Arabidopsis thaliana: one gene and its partner. The protein of the gene in region 1 interacts with the protein of each later gene in a pairwise test. Each region holds a gene or a part of one and is shown on either strand. Other genes may lie near its edges.

Region 1 (3,996 bases):
TTATAGACTTGTACGGTTATATATACCAATCATGTTTTAACGGAATTGCCAAGTGGTAATCAGCAGTGACAACTATTCGTTAATCTGTAACATTCATATATATGTTTTTAATACAAACTCAAATAAACATTCATACATAAAAGATCCTGAAATACTTCGTACGATTGCCAAACAAAATCAACAACGATAAATATTACAAACGGTGTAGCATGTCCCTTAGCGCAAAATAAGGCCCAAGTTTGCAAACACACACGGTCACACATAAAAGGCTACAAAGTTCAAATCAGAGTTTTATTCAAATTCTCTCCGATGAATAAAGCAAATAATTTTTGTGTTTAAATTATACTCCGAAAATAAATAAACAAAAATAATTGAATCCCGGTTTGTTTTTTTCTTTCTTCTTGTCATTTTTATATACAAAGAGGCGGATCGTCCCATTACTCTCCCTGCTCCAATGTAAACCGAACCGGTTAACCACAATGCGTCTCGATCCCGAGTGTAGTACGTTGAAAATTCTAAAAGTAAAACGCACGGATTGTTGGTTTAGTGTTGAAACCGTTTTACGGTTTGTCAGGAACTTTATAAACCGGTTGGTTAATCAAACGACGTAACTTTTGTCTAAGAGCATCGGCCCAAACCAAGCCCACGTCTCTTTGCTTGTTCTTCATCTCCACCATCACTAGTTCATTTGTTAGCCGGCGAACTTTAACGACGACATTAGCTACTCCATGTGGACCTTCAAGCTTTATCGCTCTCTCCTTCTTCTTCGCGATTCTCAAATTTAACTGCTTCGCAACTTCCTCGACCTTCCTCATAATAACGGCCGTACTCTCATCGGATACAAACTGGTCGCAATGATCCGGCGTCACGAAATTTCCAAACAAACCGGAGAGATTCGAGCTCGACGCCGAAGAAATCAAATCGAACGCGTTTAGAATTTTACCGTTTTCTTCCAGATCGTAATCATCGGCTTGGATTCCGATGATTTCGCTTGGATCTACTCCATGATTGAACCACGGATCCTTTAGAATCTCCTCCACGGTGATTCGCAGTTCCGGATTTGGCTCCAAGAGACGGCGGAGGAGTTTCCGCAGATCTGAAGATGTCCAATCCGGTAACTTGTATTGAGCCTTGTGGATTTTCCGGTAGAGTCCCATGATGTTTGGATCACGAAACGGCAAGTAGCCTGCGTTGAGAAGAAACAAAACGACGCCGCATGACCAAATATCAGCTTTAGAACCGTCGTAGCCTTTCTTCAAAAGAAGCTCCGGTGCTACGTAAGCCGGAGTTCCACAGAGCGTATGTAGCATTCCGTCGGGGTGGATCTGCTCCTTCATCGCACTGAGACCGAAGTCTGAAACCTTCAGATCTCGATTCTCGTCGAGGAGGAGATTCTCCGGCTTCAAATCACGGTGGAAAACTCCTCTTGCGTGGCAGTATCTCACGGCGGAGATCAATTGCCGGAAATATTTCCGGCTAAGACTCTCTGTGAAACGGTTGCTGGTGACTCTTGAGAAGAGCTCACCACCTTTGGCTAGCTCCATGACGAAGTAGATCTTCGTCTTTGTGGCGAGGACTTCGGAGAGGAGCACGATATGAGGATGACGGAGGCGGCGCATGACAGATATTTCTCTCTTAACGTGCGCCGTTAAACCGTCTTTCAAACGTTTTTTTTGTACGACTTTGATCGCAACGCTTTCGCCGCCGTTTTGAAGATCCTCCGCTTGGTAGACTTTGGCAAACGCGCCGCTACCGAGGAGCTTACCGAGATCGTACTTACCGAACAAAGCCGACTTATTATCATCTCCGGTGACGTTAACAATGATTGATTCGGAAGAATTAGAGTCTTCGGCCATTAACAAACAAACAAAAAAAACAGAGCAAAAAAACAGAGTAAAGAGAAACAGTCTAGGAATTGTAAAAGACATGCGCGCGGTGCCTCTTCTTATTGAAATTCCTCAACTTGCCACGTAAGTAAGCTATTATTTTAAACAAAGATTTTAAAATAGTTTGACTTTATTATAAAATGCATTAAACAAATAAATGAAAGAAACAATCTTCACAAAAGACAATTTCAAAATGCGATAACATTTTCGATTTTTACTAATTTGAATTAGTTGCGATATATCAACCAGGTTAGAGATAGAGTCATTTTCTCCTGAAATAATTTACGATTCAAGGAATTTTCATGATTCTTTCCCCAATGTGTGGTTCATGTTGTTGTTACCAAACATCTGCCTTGTCAGGTCAACCAAAACCTTCTAATTCCAGGTGGGATTTAAAGTCTTAATTTATTTGTTTTTGTAGGAGCTGGGAAAACTCGACATATTTTTTTTTTTTAAACGTTCATCGTTGACAAAAATAAAAACTTTATCAAAAATAAAAAGAACGTCTATATAAAAATATTTGAATAATGTGAAAGAAAAAAACAACGTGGATTGACGTTACTTTGTATAGAATGCTAAGCAGTATACATGACGATGTTTTAAGCTTCTTTACCGGTTAAGATGGTACTTTAGTTCTGAGGATATGATTTGGTTCTTAAAACATAAGAATATATATTCATCAGGTAGAAGTGTACAACCAAATCAAGACAAGTGAACCGGACCAAATTTTATGTGAACTATATCTCGCAACATTGCATGTGCATGTAAAGATGTTTAGACACGAATGTTATATCGTGGGTACAAATCAACCATCCTTAATTCTGATGAAATTGTTGGTCTTTAACCGCATCCAACCGTAGCAACCCAATCAAACCAAGAACATTATCCAGTCAATAAATAACCTTTAAATTTGAGTGACAAAATAATAACATTTAAATTTGAATGTTGTTTGAAATTCAATGCCACATATAATAATTACTTTTTAATAGCTGGAAATTTTGTTATCTAAGGATTAATGATGGGCAAATTAAGTTTTTCTTATAATTAATTTGAAGTTGGATTCGTGGATCCAAGTCATTCGTGTGTGGATTAAAATCATACTAGTACCCCTTTTGTTGTTGAAAAAGCCAAAAAATTAATCCTTACACGTGAACTTGTTCAAAACATTATCATAAACCTGTAAATTTTTGACCAAAAACAAGAAACCTCTAAAAAAAGAATTAGGAAATATGCAAAAGCAAAAACTCGACAAAGTAAAACGAATAAAGAAAACAACTCTTGCTCATTCATTCATGTGTTCCAATATGTAGGTGTTAGCTTTCGTAACGGTATTTACTATCTATTTGCCTTTTAGTTTATTGACTTTATCTGAATGAAAATTAACACCTAACAGTCGGCAGTAATACCCAACCAAACTTCAAAAGTTATCTCGATTTTATCGTACGGTCACACAGTCATTTAGACTATGACATCCGGGCGTCATTGTGGAGTCATACCCAACCGGAAAAACCAACCATCGAATCATCACATCGAATATAATGCCCAACCGCCAAGTCAACTTATTTATGTGCTATATCGATCCATTTAAAAACATCAATTCTTTTGAAAAACAAATACATCACCATTGCTTTATTATTGAATATTGATCTTCTCATTGTTATCGTCATCAAGAATAAAGACATCTACTTCAAAGAGACACCGTCTTTACCACCGTGATGGTGTACGTCAGCCATCGACATCGTCCGTACACCCACCCTCACTCTTAATTTAAGACGTTTCTTCTTTCTCACGCATCGTCATATATTGTGTGATTTCTTTAAAAATGTTATTAAAAAAACTCTACGAAGCAAAGTTTGTAAAACCAACCGTCAGAAGATTTCTACGACATTTTGTCTTTGTTTACGAAAAGAATTTAACAAAAGCATAAAAAAAAAAATTGATGGTTTTATGATTAGACAAATTTTTTGATCTAACTCAAAAAAAAAAAAAAAGTCACATATTGAGGCATTGCTTTTGCTATTTTCTCAAAGTTTTAATTAGGACATTACATTACATCTTTTTTTTTTATGACAAATTATTTTATCTCAATTCACAACCCCATCAGAAGAGA
Region 2 (4,822 bases), on another chromosome or scaffold:
CTTATCACAAGATCCTCTAACTTTCATGTGCATGTCCACCTCTCGTTCTTAATAGTAAAGTATCACGTGCTTGAGACATGCTTACCCGTACGTACTGAAAAAAAAAGATGCTACAAAAACATGTGCAACCACAAAGTAGTGGGAGAGTGTTACTATATAGTACTATACACTAATACACTCCTTTGACTTTTCCTCAATTCTCAATCACCAAGACACCAACCTTTCTTTATTATATAACATTCAATTAAATACCAAAATGCGATACAGCTGTTACATATATTTGGACTTAACAATAAGTGTAAACCTGACAAAACCAAACCCCTGACTTGTTGCCACTTCCGTGCAATCTCTTCTTTAATTCCCACTCTCTTTCACTACTATTCAACCTTTCTCAAAACACACAATAACGTAATTAAAAAACGCTTAATGAAAACCATTAAAAACGTATAACCATAAATACAACTATAATGGTGTTTTGTGATGGCGCGGCGAATCAGCAGAGAAACAGTGACCCATACTAAATTCATGCATTTGTCATTTTCCATTAGATTCTTAGAATCGCAACACGTCAGAATCTAACGCCCAACTGGTAGGGCTTAATAATTTTGAAGCAGACAACAAATTAAGTCGATAAGAACAATGAAAAGGAATTCACATCAAAATTATATAAACTAAAAAGCTTCTTCCATTAATATTTTGTTTTTCACATTAACGAAAGATGAAAGTGGAGAATGATGTAATAAAACTGACAGTGGAATTCTCATCAAAACTCTTTCACTTTGGACGGCTCTTAAAAGCACAATGAAAAACCCAAAGTAAAAGAGAAGAGAAACCAGAATCAGCAAAACATCAATCAAACATAAACTAAAACTTCATTAAAACTCGATTCCTAATTGCAAAACCCGGCTTTATGTCTTAAGATCTTACTACAATCCGGAACACACACTTTTGTATGTCTTAAATTACTAAAGCATAAACGAAAAAACAAAACACTCTTCTCACTTAACATTACTAAGCAAGATCCTATGAAGCTGCAAAACTTTTTAATGGGCAAGAGATGTTGATAGGAGCAAGTTGATCAAGGAAACCGAAACTAGAGTCAGCTAGCTGAAGATCTTCAACATCCGCAAAGTCGAAATCTGGTAACGCACTTGGACCGTTATCTTCGAATCCTTGAATGTCATCAAGCAAGCCGAAATCATCAAACTGATCATCCGCGAGGAAACAATCGAAGTCTAGGTCTTGTTGCTCCTCTGCCAAGAAACCAAAATCAGGGATCTGTAGATTAGTAAAGTCGAAATCGAACAACGTTTCCTTGTTTCCACCAGCAGGAACATTTGGAGTTGGAGCAGTTGGAGCAACGGTCGAGACGTCATCAGGGTTGTTGACACAAGTGAGAGCTGATGCAGAAGTGTCATCTTGCTCAACAGGAACAACAGGTGAAGAACGAGAGCATTGGCTAGTCTCAGATGAAGAAACATCACGTTTAGTAGTGGACACATTTCCAGCAACAATAGCATCAAACTCAAGCTTCTTAGCATCATAAGCTTTAGCAGCTTCTTCAAGAGTATCAAAAGTACCCAACCAAGTCCTAGTTTTCTTAATAGGATCTCTAATCTCAGCAGCCCATTTCCCCCATTTCCTTTGCCTAACACCAACAGGCTTCTTCCTAGGAACAGCAGGAGAAGCTGACACAGCTATCTTGCCATCAGTTTTAGTACTGTCCTGAGAAGAACTCTCAGAAGGCTGTTCAGAAACTTCCATAGAAGGAAAGTTAATCTCACGAACGATACGTTTCATTTTCCTTGGCTTAGGAACCTTAAGCTCTTCCTCATCACTAGAGGAATCATCAGTAGCATAAGGATCATTCACAATAATACGGACTTTCCTCAAAGGTTGGGTTTCTTGAGGAAGGGACGATAGAGTGTTTCTCTTAGCTCTCTTCTTAATCTCGCTACTAACACCACTCAAAGACTGTTCCTTTCTAATCGCAACCATTGTTAAACCCACTCCTCAAAAATACCCAGAAAACAGAAAGAACAAAAAATCACTCTAAAAGGTCAAAACTTTTTTGGTATCAAAACTCAAAACTCTCAGCGAACTATGAAAAAAGAAAACTTTTGCTGCTTTATGTGAAAACCCCCAAAGACTTCAACACTAGAACAAGTCCTGTGACAAAAATCAAACAACAAACTCTCAGATCGGAGAAGGTACATAAATGTAAAGAGAGAAGAGAGAAAGATGAAGGATAAAGATAATACCTTTTGGGTCTTAAGCGCATGGAAAGAGAAGGAGTCTCCAGAACAAGCCTCTGCTTATTACAGCAGAAGTGAAGAGCGTTGAGAAGACAAGATTTCAAAGACGACGATGATGGGGAAGATGATGATGAAATCGGAGAAGAGATATGAATCAAAGACAAAATCACAGTCGATTCAAACCCAGCCGACATAAATCAAACCCTTTTTTCTTGTTGATTATCAGATCGAAACCCAAAAAACCGAACCTTTCACTGTTCCTGTTCTTGGAAAAGACAAAACAATAAGTGAGAAACGAAACCAAATAAAACCCAAACAGCTAAAACCCAGAACCCTTAAGAGACAGAGAAGAAGATAGATAGATGGGTAAGAAATCTGGGGATGAGATTATTTTTGCTATGAGTATATAAAAAAAAACGAAGGATCCGTGACAATTTTCACAGAGAAAAAACAGTAAACAAGTGTTGAAATAAATTATATTTATGAAAAAGAAAAGCTTTGGTTTTTACAAAATAAGACGCAAATCTCTAGAAGAGAACATAAACAATAAACAAATCACAAGATGAAGAAGAAGAAGAAAATGACCTTGTTGCTGTTGTTTCTTCTGATTTTTTTCTCTCTCTCTTTTCCTTTCACACTTTTTTTTTTCTTCTTGTGAATGAAATAATAAAGCTTTCACGCTCTTTATATTCTGATTTTAACAAGTACTGATTTATTTCCCTTTGTTCAATGACGGTCAAAAGTAACCATTCAAAGAAAAAAAAGACCGACTAAGAAGGGAAATAAAATATACAGAATATAATCATGAACTTTGTAACAGCCAATTAGAAACTGTAAATGGTGAAAATTAGGAATAAAATATAACCAATTTAGGAAGTCATTCCTAATTTATAGCAAAAATCACATTTACTGACCCAAGAAAAAATATATTTAATTGCCTATTAAATGTATTGAATTAAATAAATCTTCCGTTTTTTATAGAGTTAACAAAAATAACAGTATTTGACTGTAGTGTGGCTCTTTTGACTTGAATTTTTTTTTGCGTTACATTTTTAATTTGGTAGTATTAGAAAATTAAAAAAAAAAAAAAAAGAGGAAGATTTAGTATAAAAACATTTCCATTTGAGGAGACATATAATAAATATTAGCTGGCAATAAAGAAAGAAGTAGGGACAAAATATACATTAATGGCGCATGACTCTCTCTTACTCATGCATCTATCATGGCCCGCCTAAGAATCCTAACGCGTGTACCTTACTCTCTTCTTTGCCTTCACAATTATTTATAAACAAATTTTACATGAGTATTAATCTCTGTTTTTTTTTTTAGTACGAATTTTAATTTTATAAAATTTCTATATTTATTTAAAAAACTTTAATTGGAGAATTATTTTTTAATATGTGTGATCTTAATTGGGTAAATATCTTTTACATATAACCTTATTTGGATAGATATCTAGAAATCTTTCAATTTTGGTAAAGAATCTTAACTATATTTGTAAATAATATCTCAGCAAAATTCATAAGAAAATCTTTTAAAATCTAGGTAGAAAAAAAATTCTAGTTTTTCTTAGATTTTAATATTAAAAAAATAAAAAATTAGAAAGAATACCATATTTAGTTTTAGAGTTTTAAATAAAATTGAGCTAACTAAAAGTTGTTGTAATCTAAGCATAAATCTCACATCTTTAGATGTTTACTGCTGAAATTGCAAGAGTTCTCGCTAAACAAAAAAAAAATCTAAACAAGAGTACTCTTCAACAAGGATGTACAACTGTTAGTATGTTCCCCTTTAGTGGCCGAAGCGTTAACAACTCTCAATGCTATAGAAATTGCAATAGAATTGGAATTCGCAAATGGTTGTTAAAACTATCAACTGGAAGATTTTCTCAAAAGAATTATCTTTTTTTTTTAAGTTCATTTCTTGTTCTTTTATTTTCAACTCTAGATCTCTTAATCATGAAGCAGACTCTTTGTCAAAGTATACCCTCTTGTTATCATCTATTGAACCCTAGTTTAGTAATGATATGTTATCTTTGTTCAAAAAAATGGTTTAAATTTTATTATAATTTTAAAAATTGTAATCTTGGTAGATTTAATTACTGACTTTGAATAGTTTTATTGTACCGAAAACGGACAAGACAACTCAAATTTAGATTCTCGTTTTTTATGCTTGTTTAAATTAGAAATTTTTTAGTGATAAACTGATAATTTTGACTAATTAGAGATAATTTGTCCATTTTGTTTCCAAACAAAATTTAATTTGTGTTTCAAATCAAATTTAGTGTTATCAAAAATAACGCATGATGTGCATCTTGACCTTCACTCACTCTATTTTCAAATGTTGAGACTTATTAATCTTTAAACAAAGTAGTGAAGTGGTCGTGGAATAAATTTATCAAAGTCAAAAATGATTAATCAACAAGGTGTCAATTTAAGGAACAACATTATACATATCAATTGGAGGTGGAACGAGAGTGCTATTTTTTATATAGAATTTCTGCTGAGATTTAGCAAAGAATGTTTATGACACATGCCACACGTGTATGAAAAAGATCCTTTCTATGT

The links.
Region 2: the proteins of CIPK22 (region 1) and CRF10 interact in a two-hybrid assay, tested with the Arabidopsis thaliana proteins (one large-scale study listed by BioGRID).

What each region holds. Positions count from the first base shown.
Region 1 is NC_003071.7:16,113,349-16,117,344, forward strand, and holds CIPK22 (CBL-interacting Serine/Threonine-kinase), read right to left. Parts: upstream 1,857-3,996; coding exon 561-1,856; downstream 1-560.
Region 2 is NC_003070.9:25,724,787-25,729,608, forward strand, and holds CRF10 (Integrase-type DNA-binding superfamily protein), read right to left. Parts: upstream 2,916-4,822; 5' UTR 2,841-2,915; intron 2,601-2,840; exon of another isoform or gene 2,516-2,600; 5' UTR 2,262-2,515; intron 2,170-2,261; 5' UTR 1,999-2,169; coding exon 1,024-1,998; 3' UTR 669-1,023; downstream 1-668.